2 linked regions of the Tamandua tetradactyla genome follow. The protein of the gene in region 1 interacts with the protein of each later gene in a pairwise test. Links are inferred from orthologs where the notes say so. Each region holds a gene or a part of one and is shown on either strand. Other genes may lie near its edges.

Evidence for each region.
Region 2: the proteins of DMPK (region 1) and HSPB2 interact in a two-hybrid assay, tested with the Homo sapiens proteins (2 studies listed by BioGRID). The link is inferred for Tamandua tetradactyla from reciprocal best matches to the Homo sapiens genes DMPK and HSPB2.

The regions. Positions count from the first base shown.
Region 1 is NC_135342.1:15,270,766-15,278,119, reverse strand, and holds the start of DMPK (myotonin-protein kinase), read right to left. Parts: upstream 3,066-7,354; 5' UTR 1,812-3,065; coding exon 1,633-1,811; intron 1-1,632. Other genes in the region: DMWD (dystrophia myotonica WD repeat-containing protein), read right to left, coding at 3,591-3,638, 3,899-3,973, 4,746-5,990. UniProt on the Homo sapiens protein: Non-receptor serine/threonine protein kinase which is necessary for the maintenance of skeletal muscle structure and function.
Region 2 is NC_135334.1:29,336,747-29,344,661, forward strand, and holds the start of HSPB2 (heat shock protein beta-2), read right to left. Parts: upstream 3,087-7,915; 5' UTR 2,830-3,086; intron 2,501-2,829; exon of another isoform or gene 2,435-2,500; 5' UTR 2,384-2,434; coding exon 2,290-2,383; intron 2,081-2,289; exon of another isoform or gene 2,002-2,080; intron 1,796-2,001; coding exon 1,341-1,795; 3' UTR 1-1,340. Other genes in the region: CRYAB (alpha-crystallin B chain), read left to right, coding at 3,468-3,668, 4,757-4,879, 6,116-6,319. UniProt on the Homo sapiens protein: May regulate the kinase DMPK.

The DNA of each region.
Region 1 (7,354 bases):
GTGCTCCAGGGCTCCAGGCACTGGTAGGAGGGCCGGCCAGTCCTCTCCACAAATCCAGGAAGGGCCTTGTATTACCCCGTATTTACAGATGGGGAAACCAAAGTCAAGCAGCTTGGAATGTTAAACAGGGTGGCAGGGAAGGCGATAAACCAGGGATGGAGGCCCCGAGACTCAGAGGCAATGGGAAGGGGAGGCCTGGGCTCCCAGAAGCCAGCAGGCTAAGGGATGCCCGATGCAGGGAGGGATGGGAGACAGGGGATATAGGGTGCGCTCTGGAGCGGAGAGATGGCCCCCGCGGGGTTCAGGGAGAATGGGCCGGCAGGGAAGCAGCAGCCAGGGCCCAGGGACGGGGGAGGGAGGAGAGAGCCAAGACATTGAGCCCTTTTAAGGCAGCGGGAACCCAGGCCCTCTCCCCCTTCGCTGGGCGGAGGAGGGGCCGCAGGATTCGGGCTCAGGCCACAAAAGGAGCGCTCCTTACAGGAGAGCCAGACCCCCGCCCCCACCCTAGGCCTCAGTTTACCCTGCCAGGCAAGCTTAGTCCTCTGCAAAAGGGAGGCTAGGAGAGTAACTAAGGGCTCGGGGGAGGTAGGGGGGGTTCTTCCAGAGGCTGAATGGCCCAACCCCAGGCTACCCCCTGTGAAATGGGAGGAGGGAGAGAAGCGGGGCTTGGGATGGAAGGGGACAGATACGGGTGAGGGGAGAGTGACAGGAAACAGAAAGACAATGACAGAAAGACTATGACCTACACAGACCCAAATCGAGCCACTGCAGGGCAAACAGATGGGGGGACACAGTGGCAGGATGTTACACAGGCAGAGATTAGAGTGACCTTGTGCCCTGGGCTTGGGCTTGGGGTGGGGGTGGGGGGTGGGGGTGCCGGGGGGGCAGCCAAATTGAAGCATCTCCTCTCCGGACCCGGCCTGCCTGGAAAGACCTTGCAAGAATGGGCTTTGTGGGGAGACCTGGAAGGTTGGGGGTCCTCAACTAGGAGGATTAAAGGGGTCAAGAATTAGTGGAAAACGGGATGGCTCAGGCAGGCTAGCAGAGATCAGAATGTTGGAAAACATGGAACCGACAGAAGTGGCCCTCCTCAATCTGGGGACAGAGGGGTTGCTGGGTGGCGCCTGTCTGCAGAGCTGGTTCTTCCCCAGGGCCAGCCTGAGTCACCGCACCCTCCCAGGGCCTGGGCACCTGTTGGGGCAGCTGGAGAGGCTGACGCCGAACACCTGCCAGATGGCCGCGCCCCTGGCAGCTGCCCCACACTGTCCCTTCCGCCTGTCCGTGCTCTGGGAAACCACGATGGAGGGCCATAGGACCCATTTTGGAGATGGGGCTCCCAGCTTAGCCTTGGGTAGGGGTAAAGGCCCCATGGGAGGCTGTGCCCAGCCCAGCCCTCCATGGCTCCTGATGCTGCCAAGCCATGGTTCCGTGTCATGGCTGCCCCGGCCTCTGCTGACCCTGCCCTGCCAGGGGTATGGGGAAGGGCACAGCACCCCAAGACCCATGTCCAGGCTCTAGGGCCATGCATTGGACAATTTGCCTTTGTCCGTCCTGTCCCCCAACAGCCAGACCCCTGCACCCAACCCATTTCCTGTCTCTGACCCTGGGAGGCCCAGGCAGACAGCCACTCACCCCACTGCAAGAAGTCGGCCACGTACTTGTCCTGGGCCAGGTCGGAGGTGCCCAGCTCCTGGTGGACGCCCAGAAGAAGGTCGAGCAGGGGCTCCAGCCCCAGGAAGCCGGGGTCCAGCACCAGCTGCTGGAGCCGCCGCAGCCGCACCTCGGCTGACATGTCGGGCAGGCAGCACCATGACCCCCTCCCCGGGCTGGGGGCTCGGGCTCCTCCCGTCACCGGGACGTCAGCCCCTGTCCAGGCCCCAGGGCCCCTGCCGCATGTCTGCCTGTCCCTGGCTGTCCCCTAGGCCTCTCTGGCCACTTCTCTCTGCTGCCGAGACCTCCTCCTCTTCTCTCCACCCCCTCGGTCCAGCCCCCCTCCCGCCTCCCAGCCTTAACCCCTCACAAGCCAGCCCCCCACAACTCCCTCCTTCCAAGGCCCCTCTGAACCCTTCAGTTTAATGGGGGAGGGGGGAATCACCATTCTTACACCCTTCCCCCAATAAAAAGGGGAGAGGAAAACTACAGGTGTGACAGATGCCAAAGATGAGCCCGCCCATTCTCTAGAGGGGACCAATTGAGGTCCAGAGTGATCCAGGCAACCCCCCCATACACAAACACAAACCCCAGGCAGGGGTGGAGGGAGGGGGGCTGAGGCCAAAGAAGGGGGGCTGGAGGCCAGGGCAGCTTCTCGGGTGACTCAGCCATAGATTCCAACTTTGGGACAGTTAAATTTAGCCCTCCGGGACTTGGCTTCACACCGCCTGCAGGCGGTCAGGAAGGGGTGGTAAGGTGAGAAATGGGCGGGGAGGCCCTCAGGAGCCAGAACCAGGAGTAACCCACTGGCCAAAACCTGGGGGAGGTGGGTGGGGCAGCAAAGCCCTTCCCAAGCAACGGAGACCCCAAAATAGATCCTTGGACCCTGGCCGGAGAGCTGCATTCCTGCCCGGGCTGGGATTAGAAACAGAAACATTTCGGGGGGTGGAGGGCGGAGCGGGAAGACACAGCTCCCTGCAGCTAGCGAACCAGTCAAGAGGGGGTCCTACTCCTTCTTCCCAGGGGCAGACTGTTCTGGAGAGGAACTCACGGACTCTAGCTGGCTCCGGCCAGGGTGGGCTGGGGGCACAGGGGGGAAGACTGGTCCTCAGGGCAGCTCAGATCTTTAGTCCAAGCCATGCCTGAGGAACCCCCAACTGGACAGGCCCTTTAAAAAATCTGGAATGTTTCATTCGGACAGTTTGGGCACTTGAACTCATTAAAAACTCCCGCCAAGGGCTCTGGAGAGGGGTTCTGGAAGGTGTGCCCCTGCTCAGGACCACCAGCACGGAGTCACCAGCGGTGGCCTCAGCAAGCCCCACCCCCGCCTCAGGTTTTCCCGGCAACGCTAAGGACGGAGGCAGGGCCTTAAGGTGCATGCATCCCAGGAGGCGCAGCACACCCGCCCCCTCCACACCCCCATGAAGGGAACATACACGCTGGGCCCGCGGCTGTGAAAACAGGGGACTTTAGTATAAATAAGAGGTCCTGACGGTGGGGAGGGCCCCGAGGGGCTTCCATAATTTAACACTCTTGGGGAAGCACAGACAATAGCGAAGGAGGGGCGGGGCCAGGGGAGGGGCGGACCCCCTGCCCTGTCCATGGCTGAGGCGCACTGCAGAGCTGGACTCCCATGGGTCAGGGGACATCCTCACCCAGGAGCGACCAGTCACATGCTGGGGACAGGGATGAGGGTAACACTGACGTTTCAGAGGGGGTCATTGTACTTGGCAGTGGGCAGGGACAAGGCTGAGGCCACGCAGGTCACTACACACCCCCAGTGTCTAGGCCAGCAGAGGGACCCTCTGACCCCCAAGTTTGTGCAGGGAAAAGGGGGCGGTGTGGTCCATCGTCATGGTTAGTCTTGTTAATACGTTGCTCGGTGAGCTCAGTGGGGAGGGTGACGGCCAGGCAGTGGGGGCATAGGCCCGTCCATAGTCTCACACCACCGTGCCACTCGGGGAGTTGCCTGGTTGGGAGGAGATGCCCTGGGAAGATGAGGGGAGAGGGGAGGGTTAGGGACCACCCAGGGCGCCACCAGATCCGCGCCCCACCGCCCCCGGCCTCTGTGCTGCTCTAGGCTTCCTGGCTAGCAGTTGGTACTTCATACTAATAAAGTCCTCAGCTGATCCCGTGCAGAACAGATGGGGTTAGGATGGGATGGGGAGGTGAGGGGGGCAACTGAGGTCTCTTTCTGACTTGGACGGTGCTGAATTCTGGGGGAGAAAAATCTCAGGGGCAGTCCTACCTCTACCACTGCCTTGCTGGGTGACCTGGGCCAACCTCCTTCCCCTGTCTGGGCCTCAGCCTCCTCATCTGTGAACTAGGGAGATAGAGGAGGGGGTTCTTTCAGGGCTCCCAAAGGCCCCGGTATTCCAACACCCTTGCCTCTGATACTCTGAAACTGTGACTCAGGACTCTTAAGATTCTAAAACCATTCTTCCAAGGAGCAAAGCTGCAGCCCTAGACTTGCCAGCCTGGAAGCTGAGCCCAAATGCTGAGGTGCTGCACTCCCGAATTTCCAAGGTGTCAAGCCCTGTGCTTCACCTGCCATGATCTTCCCAAACCCCACAGCCACCCTAGGAGGTGGGTGCACCCCTGCCAGCCATCTCACAGGCTCTCTCCTATAAGATGACGGGTGGAGGTCAGAGAGGGGCAGTGACTGCCCTGAGACCAAATGAGCAGGACTGTTATCTGGGAGCCATGGCCTGGGCCTCCAGCAACTGGCTGGGATGCCACATGGTAGCCGGGCCACAGACTCAGAACTGCCCACAGATGTGTTTAGGTTGGCCCGCAGTATTTTCAAAAGTTTCACCATTTAAAAACCAATTTGCCCTAGAAATACAGACTGCTTCTAGTCACAAGCAGCCAGACCCAGCCATGCTGCCTTCCCCCACCCCCACCCCCACCCCCACCCCACTTCTATACTTGACCTCACCTCCCGGAACTCATGTCCCAGGGTTCTAGAAACCCGTCCTCTAACACTGCAGAGGCTTTGTCCTCCGACTCTGAGCTTTCATCCCCCTGGGCTGAAGCTGTGCTGGTGACAAAGGCCTGGGCCAAGGGTCCTGCGAGGTCCCGGGGGAGCCACTCACCGCCTTGCCGGGCCGGGCCCAGGTGCAGATGAGGCCCTCCTGGCAGGCAGTGATGATGCAGTCCTCAAGGAAAAGGAGGACAGTGAGGCGCTCCTGGGCGATCTTCTTGCACACCAGGGGCTCCAGCAGCGGCACCTCGTGGATGCGCGGGCACAGCGCCGTGCCCAGGACCTTGGCCGGGTCCAGCCGGCTGCGGGGGGCAGGGCCACTGGGCTTGTCGCCGCTGCTCCCGCCGCCACCCCGGCTGATGTTGCCCAGGCTGTGGTAGCGCTTGTGCTCTTTCTCTGCCCCCCGGTCCCGCCGCTCCTGCAGTGTGAGGGTGGCGAAGCGGCCAATGCTGAAAGGGGTACCTGGCTCTGTCACGGCACCCGGGCCGCCCCCCTTGCCACCACCTGCCGGGTGTGGGAGGCTGTTGGAGCGGGACAGCGAGCGGGGCAGGGGGCCAGGGCCTGGCTCTCCACCCCGTGAGCTGCTGGCAGCTGGGGGCGTGGTGCTGGGGGTGCCAGGGAGGGTGTGGGTACGGGCCAGGGGCGGGTGCGGGTAAAGCACGTCTTCAGTGAGGTCCCACAGGCAGAACTGCGTGTCCTGGCCGGCCGAGCCAAAGCGATAGGTGATGGAGCCGGCCTTAGGCAGTGGGGACACTGGGGCGCCCCCGGCCTCAGGCTCCTCCTCCTCCTCACCGCTTCGCTCCCCATCACCAGCAGAGGCCGCTGCCTCCTCAGCCCGCGTGGTGTAGGGGTCGAAGGCCACCGCGTTGACCCAGGACTTGTGGCCATGGCCACGGGCCACCACACGGCCCTCGGTGAAGGACCACACGGTGACCAGGTCGTCCTCGCCACCGGTCACCACATAGCGCCCGTCAGGGCTCCAGCACACACAGAGCAGGCCCCCAAAGTAGCTCTTCATGAGCCCGCGCAGCAGCATGGAGTCGAAGTGGAAGACGCGCAGGCAGCCATCCTGGCTGACGCAGGCCAGGTGCCGGCCGTCGGGGGAGAAGGCAAACTCGTTCAGCGGCCCCTCCCCAACCGCCCACTTGGCCAGGGGGTTGCGGGGTGCCTTGCTCTTGGCCGCGTAGACTGCGAAGCCCTCTCCCTGCTTTAGCAGGCTGTACTGGGGTGGGGCCGAGACGCACGGGTGGCTGACGTTGTATAGGTACAGGTGGCCGCTGGCATGTGAGGCCAGGAACAGGCTTTCCGACTCAGGCAGCCACTTCAGATAGGTCACCTTGGTCTTGTCGATCAGCCGCTGCCAGGGAAGACAGGTTGGGGCTGGGAGGTAGCTACAAGCCCCCCACAGCCCTCCTCCTCCCCAGTCTCCCCTGAAGCAGGGCCCAGGGCCGAGAACACCCACCCTCTTCGTGAAGTCCCCAAACTGAAGGGAAACAGACAGATGCTGGGTCATGGGAAGACAGGTGAACAAGGACAGCTTGTCAAGTGGCCACTGGAACTCTGTGGAGTCCCATCTTTGGAGAGGGGATGGTTTTGTCCTTCCAGAGAATGCCCTCTATCTATCTAACCCTCTCTACCATTTCATCATGTCAGGATTAAGGCAGAACATTTATTCATAGGCTATCACTTCACAAAGGAAGGGAACTTTGTCTATCTGGCTCACAGTTCCATACTCAGCACACAAAACAGGGTACGCAAAAGCTGGCTCGAAAATATTTCCTGGATGAACGAGTGGCAACTCCATCCTTCCAGCTGCTCAGACCAAAAACCTTCCAGGCATCCTTGCTCCTTTTTCCTCACCACTCTCATCCAATCTATCAATAAATTCTGTGTGCTCAGCCTTCAAAACGACCTGGAATCTGACCTCTTCTCCCACCCAGACCCCAGCCACCATCCATCCTGCAGAGGCTTCCCAAGTGGCCTTCAGGTCTCCACATGAAGGACTGCTCTCTGCAGAGCTACCAAGATTTCTGGTTAAAATGCAGGTCAGCACGCGTCACTGTCCCACTCGGCACACTCTTGGAGGCTTTGGCTACCAGGTTCCAGAGAGACTTAAGCTCTGATCCCTTTAAACATCCAATGGATATAATGAATTATCTTCTAGCCTGGCACCTACAACATAATTAGTTGACTCCTATCCTTATAAAAACTGAGAAAACAGTCACTCAAATCATTTCTGGGCTCTAGGGTTCACATGAGGAACCTCAGTTGAAGAGGCTTCTCCAAAGGCTTCTAACTATGAGTAAAAGCCAAAGTCCTTTCCACGACCTTCCAGATCCTACCTGATTTGGTCCCTCTCCATTATTTCTCAGAGTCCATCTATCACTCTCCTATTCCCCTCAAACACTACTCCAGCCACTTGGCCTTTGTATTATCGTGCTTCGGGGCTTTTATACGAGGTGTTCCCTTTCCCCAGGATGACTTTCCTCAGCTCCTCAGATCTTTATTTCAGCCTCACCTCCTAGTGAGGCCTTTCTTGACCACCCTATTTAAAAGCTGCCAGGCACTCCCATGCCCCTTCCTGGCTGAGTTTCCTACATGGCACTCACCCCTTTCTGTCACACAGCAGATAGGAACTTATTTGGTAACTGCTTAACACCCTCATGATGCTAGACTGAAAGCTCTGTTAAGGCAGGGACTATTGTCTGTTTTGTTCACTGG
Region 2 (7,915 bases), on another chromosome or scaffold:
ATAGTGTATTTATTACTTGGGGTAATGTAAATATTTGTTGAATGAATGAATTAAAAAAAAGAATCAATAAATAGTTATTTCTCTGAGGCAAACCTTTAATCAATCATTGAATTTCTCAAGTGAGAAGTATATCTGTAAGTATATTCATGAACGCATGAATGGATCTCAAGAGTTCTGTGAACCTATTCAAATTGTAGGTCAAATTTTGAGTATCTGTATTTTTCTGGGAAAAGGGTATGTATTTACAATTTTTGTCAGGTTTTCAAAAGGGTCTGTAACCCAGAGGTTAAGAACCACCACTTTAATGGAAGAATTTCAGGTATCCACCAGAGTTTGGTAAAGGAAAGTTCTTCTAGACACTCCCCAAATCATATCCATGTATGCTCTCTTCATTACAGAGAATTACTGAGGGGTTAGACCCTTAGGATTTCCTGAATACCCAATACCCTTAGTTGTAGGACTCCAAGGAGATATTCCCTGGGAGTCACCACTATCACAGTAATGGCTCTAGATTCCCTACATTTTGACTTGGATTGAATGGGATGATGCAGTGTTGCCTCTCTTTTGAAATGTTCCAAGTTTGGGGACCAAGGCTTTCTCTTATGGGCCTCCTCTGTGCAAAAAGTGGGAAGACCTTAGGATTTGGTGAAATGGTAGAGGCTGTGTGTCTGTGCCCCTGTGTATGTACTGGCAGTCCCTCGGAATCAGAAGCCATTTTTAGTAGACAGATCTTAGTATGGAAAAACAAAGTATTCATCCCAGGGCTTTCCGCAACTCTCTCTAGCCAGTCACTGTTTTCCTAACCCCTGCCCAAAAAGGGCCAGACAGTCTGGAGACCCCTAGTTTTTGTGTCTCTAATCACCAGCTCAGACAGTGCCCTCTGGGCTGTTTGGATGGCATATCCTTTTTCGGTCCCAGGATCACAATCTCTTTTGTTGCATTGTGAGAAAACTGTGGCTAGGAATTTGATCTAGAGCCAGTGCCAGCTTGCGGCTATGATCTCAGCATCCAAGTGTGAGCTCAGGGTGCTGTTGTATTGGGTACATCTATCTGAAGAGCTTTATGTCTAGTTAGCTATAACTTCCTCCCTCCCTGCCCATCCCATCCTTCAGGCTACACAATAGGGAGCAGCACAGACAAGGCCCTGAGATTTGGGTTTATTCAGCTCCACCCAGATCTAAGCCAAAGGCTATGACATGTCCCAAGGGACCACACCATACATTGTGGACAGTGCACCAATCCCTTCCCCCAAGGATGCTGCTACCTCTGGGGTTGTGGGCAGCTGTTCCTATCACCACAGGAGGTAGAAAGGGATCTGCTAGGTGCTGAGTCTGCAGCAATCAGGACTCCACTCTGGCCGCCTCCTCCTCGTCCTCTGGATCAGGAGGCGCAGGGAGCAGGGAGATGTAGACCTCATTGACCTCCGTGTCCAAATGTCTGCCACCCCGAGGTGCCTCCAGGTTAAGGATGCCATCGTGGGATAGAGCAGCCCGGACCCGCCAGGGGTCGACATCAGCAGGCAGGACATAGGTGCGGCAGAACTCTCGTGACACGAAGCCGTGGCGGTCCAGGCGCTGGGGGTGCCGGGCAGACACCTCCAGAAGGTTGTCCACAGTCCTCACGGTCACCTCATCTGGGGTAAAGTGGCTCACATCCAGAAATGCCTGGAACTTGCCCTCACTGAGCCTAAGCTCAGAGGCCCCTGCCCTGCTGCCCTCCCCAGCTCGGCTGGCCCGTGGCCGGACATAATAGCCATGGTAGAGGGTGGGCGTCAGGATCTCTTCTGGCAGGAGGCCTGAGGGGCACAGAGAGAGAAGAGAAGAGTCAGAATGAGGGAGGAGAGGTGGGGATGGGGATGGGGGGTGAATGAGAGGAGACTAGGAGATGAGGAGGGACTGGAGGACCAGAAGAGGAGTTAAATAGGGAGAGGAAGGGAGAGGGACACAGTGAGTAGGTGGAGGAAGAGGAAGTAGCCAGAGAGAGGGGACTGACAAAATAAATGAGATAGGGGTGGGGAGGGCAAACCAAACTAGGACACGGTGGATAGAAGGGGGACAAAGAGAAGATATCAGCGTTGCAGGTATCATGTCTTTTCTGAGGTCAGGAGGAAGGAGAAAGAGCCCTACTGGGGGTGGGGGGAGAGCGGGTAGAGCAGTCTGGGATGGAAGATGGCTCGCCCCAAGAGTTCAGTTAAGCCCTTAGTGGGGTGGAGGCCAGTAAAGTTGGGAGGTCTGCCCAGAATTTCAGTAGGTGGGGGTGGGAGGCAAGGGGGCGGCGTCTGTGCCATACCTTCCCCGAAGCGCTGCTCACTCAGGCGGCTCGGGTTGGCAAATTCGTACTCGGCGGTGGCCGGGTGGGCATGTGGCACCGAGCGACCCGACATGGCTGCAGATGCGTTGGCGGCGCTGGTCGGAGGTGCAGCCCCTCCAGCTGTCTGAAGAGCCAAGGCTCGGTCGGAGGTGGGGGCGGGGTCTACAACACCCAAAATAGTGCCGAGCCTCTGAGGGAGGGACGGGAAGGGGGGCCCTGAGTGGGAGCAACGAGTGTGTGACTAGTGCCTCCCGGACCCCCAGTCCCCTCCCCCCCGCACACCCTTTAGCTGTCGCAGGGTGCCTGAGAGGACAGCTGGGGGTCCTGGCTCAGGAGTGGGCTGGGGGAGGGGAGGACAAGTTGCTGCGTAGCTGAGACCCTCGCCAACAGTCTGCACGTTTTCCACACTACCCATTCTCCTCCCCAGTCGCAGGCACGGTGCGCCGTACTTCAGACAGCACCCCTAGATTTAATGTTTTACGAGGCTTGTAGGTTGAAAGATGCAAGAAACTTTTCTACCTTTTCCGTAGTGTCAGTGCGGGGCTGGGTGTGGGTGTCTTCCTCCCCAGATTAGTATTAGGGTCTTCTCCCGAAACCAGGGCAACCCAGGGCACCATGCAGATGCCTGGCACGGGCATGTTGGTGATCACTGCTCTTCTCCAGGGACCCACAAAGAGTTAATGTCCCTGGGGCTCAGCCTAGGAAGATTCCAGTGCCTGCCCAGGCCCAAGATAGTTGCTGGCCCAATGCCTCTGGCATGTGAGACTGGAGAGGAAAGGAGAGAGGAGGGGCACACCACTGCCTGCCTGACATTCTTGACACTGTCCCAGCTCCAGAGAACAGAATGAGGGGTGGGGAGTGGGGGTGCTGCTGTTAGGTGTGGACAGGAAAGCCAGTGAAACAAGACCAGGACAAGTCACTGGCCAGCTCAGACCTGTTTGTGTTTCTCTTTTCTTAGCTCAGTGAGTATTGGTTATGTGTCACACTGCCAAATCCCCATCACAAGTCTCCATGAACGGGTGGCGAGCTAGGATAATAAAACCCCTGACATCACCATTCCAGAAGCTTCACAAGACTGTGTATATAAAGGGGCTGGCCGTAGCTGAGGCTGAAGGAACGGACCAGCCAGCTGAGTCTTCACACTCAACCTAGTCACCATGGACATCGCCATCCACCATCCCTGGATCCGACGCCCCTTTTTTCCTTTCCACTCCCCCAGCCGCCTCTTCGACCAGTTCTTCGGAGAGCACCTGTTGGAATCAGATCTCTTTCCAACTTCTACTTCTCTGAGCCCCTTCTACCTTCGGCCACCCTCATTTCTGCGGGCACCCAGCTGGATTGATACTGGGCTCTCAGAGGTGAGTCCCCTCTCCCTGCCAGAACAGGAGAGTTCTTCCTAGAATATTCTGGAAACTTCTCCACTTTCCTCTTCCTCCTCTGTGCTTAAACTGGATTATATTTATATCCTAAGTATCCAATAGTAAAGAAAGATGAGGCTACTAACATCTCCCTCCCCCAGTTACCTGTTTCTATATGATGTTCTTCTGCATCCTATTTATTAGTGTACAATCTTTCACAATCTTTATGCATGATAAAAATCATCCTTTGTCCCCTAACTTCTAAGCAGGATGTCTCTTCTCTGGCTTGGTTCATAATGATGTGAAAGGAGAGAGCTGCCTTCAGACTCCTTTGCTGACCTCTTCTAATACCTCATTGTCCTGACTAGGAGAGAGTCCTACCTCGTCTTGAGCTTTTCATGCCCACTGGGTGGAGCTGGAGACAACAGCTATTATTTTCTTCCATTTTATTCTCTCTTCTGTGGTTTTCCTGACTTCTCAAGGGCTGAGGCAGGGCATTGGCCCAGGTCCAAGCCTTATGAGGAAGAGGCCCCCCACTTGTCCTAGGAGGGTCAGAGAAGGATGAACAGATAGGGTTGACAAAAGCTGCCACAGATAATACCTTGGTTTAAAAATAATCAAGTGTGAGTGAACAGGAGCTGAGTGGGCAAGGGCTTTGGAAGGACAAGCAAGACCAGCAGAACATTCCAGATTGAGTGGGTGGGAAACTTGGCAGATTTATGAACAAGAAAAAGGGGCCTTTGTCTCACAAACAAATGACAAGGCCAGGCATTGGGGTCAGAGAGACAGCTGAAACCATGCAGGCCATTCTTGTGACTGATTGTGTTCCCCTGGGTGGCTCTGTCTTCTCCCTTGTCCTGGTAAATAAAGTTTGAGCCTGATGACCAAGTGACCAAGTCGTATGCTTTGAGTACCACTGTGGTGACTCCTTAAGCCAGAAAGCCATGTTTATTTATTAAAAAAGGGATTTTTAGCAGAAAAGAGGCGGTTAAAATAGCCGGACAGAAAGCAATTCTTTAGAATGATGAGACTGCACCAGTCTTTCTACCATCTTTTCCATTATCCCCTCCCCACTTTGCTATTTCTAGATGCGCCTGGAGAAGGACAGGTTCTCTGTCAACCTGGATGTGAAGCACTTCTCCCCAGAGGAACTCAAAGTCAAGGTTCTGGGAGATGTGATTGAGGTGCATGGCAAACATGAAGAGCGCCAGGTATGTAGCTTGTTTTCTCTTCTGCTCATTCATTCAGTGCCTACTATATGCCAGGCAATGCCATCAACCTCTGAGGCTGGCAACATTCCAATCCGAAGCCGTAAGGGTCTAGACCAGGGTCACAAGTCAGTAGCTAGAAGACTAACTTGTTTGTTTTGATTTGACTGCCTTGAATGGATGAGATGGATTGTTTACTTTCATTTAAGCCAGTGGCTCTCGACCTTGGCCATATTAGAATCACCAGGGGAATTTTCAAAAATCCTAATGCCTGGGTGCATTCCATACCAATTAAATCAGAATATTTACAGGTGAGACCCTTTAATATTTGTTAAAGCTCCCTCGATAATTCTAATGTACAATCAATGCTGAAAACCACTGATTTAGGCATAGTGCTTGTCAGAGACTTGGTTGTTTTACATAATTACATTAATCTCACGCACCTGAAGGCATATGAGATTGATGCCTTGTATAGATGTTCAGTAATCCATTTCTCTTTAGGCCCATCTTTATGCTGAAATACTTGGTTTGCTTAAATTTCAGAACCCATGTGGAAATAGTTTATCGAGAGCCTGTTTGGATAAATGCTTGAGATTTAGCGGGTATAAGGGTTAGGACCAAGTATTCTTTGCAGGATTCTGAAAAATGAAGAGCATCTCATTTTCTGGGAGAGTTTTTTTAAATGACTATGTGTCTCACTATTAATGATAACTCAGATATTTGCGCTTCAAACAGAACAGATAGAAGTTTTCAGGCTAGTTCAGTTTTGATCATACAATTTAAGTTTGGGGCATGGTCTCCTTGAATGGAGTCACTTTTTTAACAGCAGCTCTATTGGTCTGGAACATTCTGAGATACTCCTGAAGAGTCAGGATATTTTTTGGCTTTCTTGGAGACTCAGATCCTCAATGCCAGTGTGAGATTCCAAATCTTGTACGTCTAGCAAACATTGATTTAAACCTTTGGAAAACCCCTAGCCCCTAAACTACTTGCTTCAGAGTTTGGCAAACTCTGAAATTTGGGGCTGTTTCAGACTTCTCAGACTGCTGTTGGTAGGAGTGACTACCTAGGCAACTTCATCTTAGCCCTAAATCTGAAATGAACAACTATTTAGCTTTCTCTCATCTCATTGCTATGAAATTTGCTTCAACTTAAGGGGAATGAGGATGTCTGGTTTCCAGGCAAGTGGTGTTTTTCCTGTTCTTATTTCTCTGCCTCTTCCTTGTTCCCTTGGATTAGGATGAGCATGGTTTTATCTCCCGGGAGTTCCACAGGAAATACCGGATTCCAGCTGATGTGGACCCTGTCTCCATTACTTCATCCCTTTCATCTGATGGAGTCCTTACTGTGAACGGACCAAGGAAACAAGTCTCTGGCTCTGAGCGCACCATTCCCATTACCCGTGAAGAGAAGCCCGCTGTCACTGCAGCCCCCAAGAAGTAGATGCCCTTTCTCTAATTGAATTTTTTTTAAATAAGAAAGGTTCCCCACCAATGAATGAAAATCCTGTGACTAGAGATGAAGCTTATTAATGCTAAGGGCAGGCCCAATTTATTAAGCTAATAAAATATCATTCAGCAACAGATAACTGCCTCATGTTTGAATTTTCGGTATTTTAGAAATAAATGTACAATTACCAGCAAGTGAATTTAATCATTGCATTATGATTTAAGGGACTCCAGGGATTTTAGAGTCAGAATGACTGGGTGTACCACTTACTAATGGTTACTTTTAGGCAAGTCATTTAACCTTTCTGGTCTTCAGGTTTTCCATTTATAGTATGGGGACTTATTTGTACAAAGTTGTTGTAAGGAATAAATTAAGGAGAAAAAATAGGTAAAACCCTTGGCAGAGTTCAAGGAATGTCGGTTCCTCTCTCTCCTCCCTCTTTGATTTTACCCTCAGTTCCAACAACCTGAGCAAATCTGAAGGAACTCTGGATAACAGTATATAAAAGACATTCCTGCATCTTTGAGATGATGAAAAGACATGGCACCTCCAACCTTATTTGATGTTTTTCAACTGATTCCTTTAGTTGATTCCCAAGGGCAATAACTAAGACTTGGGTGATTATTGCTTAACAAGCCTTAGGTCTGGCTTCTAAATTATCCAGCAAACACCTAATGAACTAAGACTGAGATATATCCAATTAACCAAGAAAAAATACAATTAATAATTCATCAATAAGTGTTTATATTATTTACTTAAGACCCGCCCCCCCCCCCCCCCAAAAAAAAAAAAACCACCACCATTTCAATGGGTGTTTGAATGTGTAGATCCAGTGCTCTGGAGTAGAAGCTAGGGCAGTGGATATAATCTAGAGCTAGCTTATATAAGGCCAACAATACAAAGACAGACATTAAGGGATTGGTAGAGAAAAATGAGCACATAAGAGACTGGAAAGTGCCCAGCAAGACAGGAGAAAAACTTGTTTAGCACAATGTCATAGAAAATAAAGGCGTGAAGTTTCAAGAAGGAAAAGGTGAGTGCTTAAGTGGATTATCAAATGCAGAATATAAAAGTCAAATAGTATGTGAGCTGAAGTGTTCATTAGATTTAGCCAAACCTACTCATACATAAATATAGCTCCGGGAAAGTGGTGGGTTAAAGAACAAATGGGGGACAGACATTTCAACAAGTTAGAGCAATGGTTTGTATCAAGTTTGATACAACACTCTGCTCCAAGCACATTGTAATGGTAGAATTTTTTTTGTTTGTTTTCTTTTCTAGGTAGCATTTTTTTTAAGTAGGAAAAAATGATGATGATATGGGCAAAATATTTAAGTAAATAAAAGTAAACTTCAGAGAAATGGACATATCAGACTTTAGGTCTAGAAGCAAGCAGTGGTAGCTGATGAATTTGACATAACCCTGCCCCCTCTAGATAACCAGGTTCATCAGTTTTAATATTTTGCTTATCTATCTGTCTATCATCTTCTGAACACTTAAGAACAAGTTGCACACATCATCCTCCTTGCACACATAACACTTCCATGTACATTGCCTATAAACAATGATATATTCACTTACATAAATCAC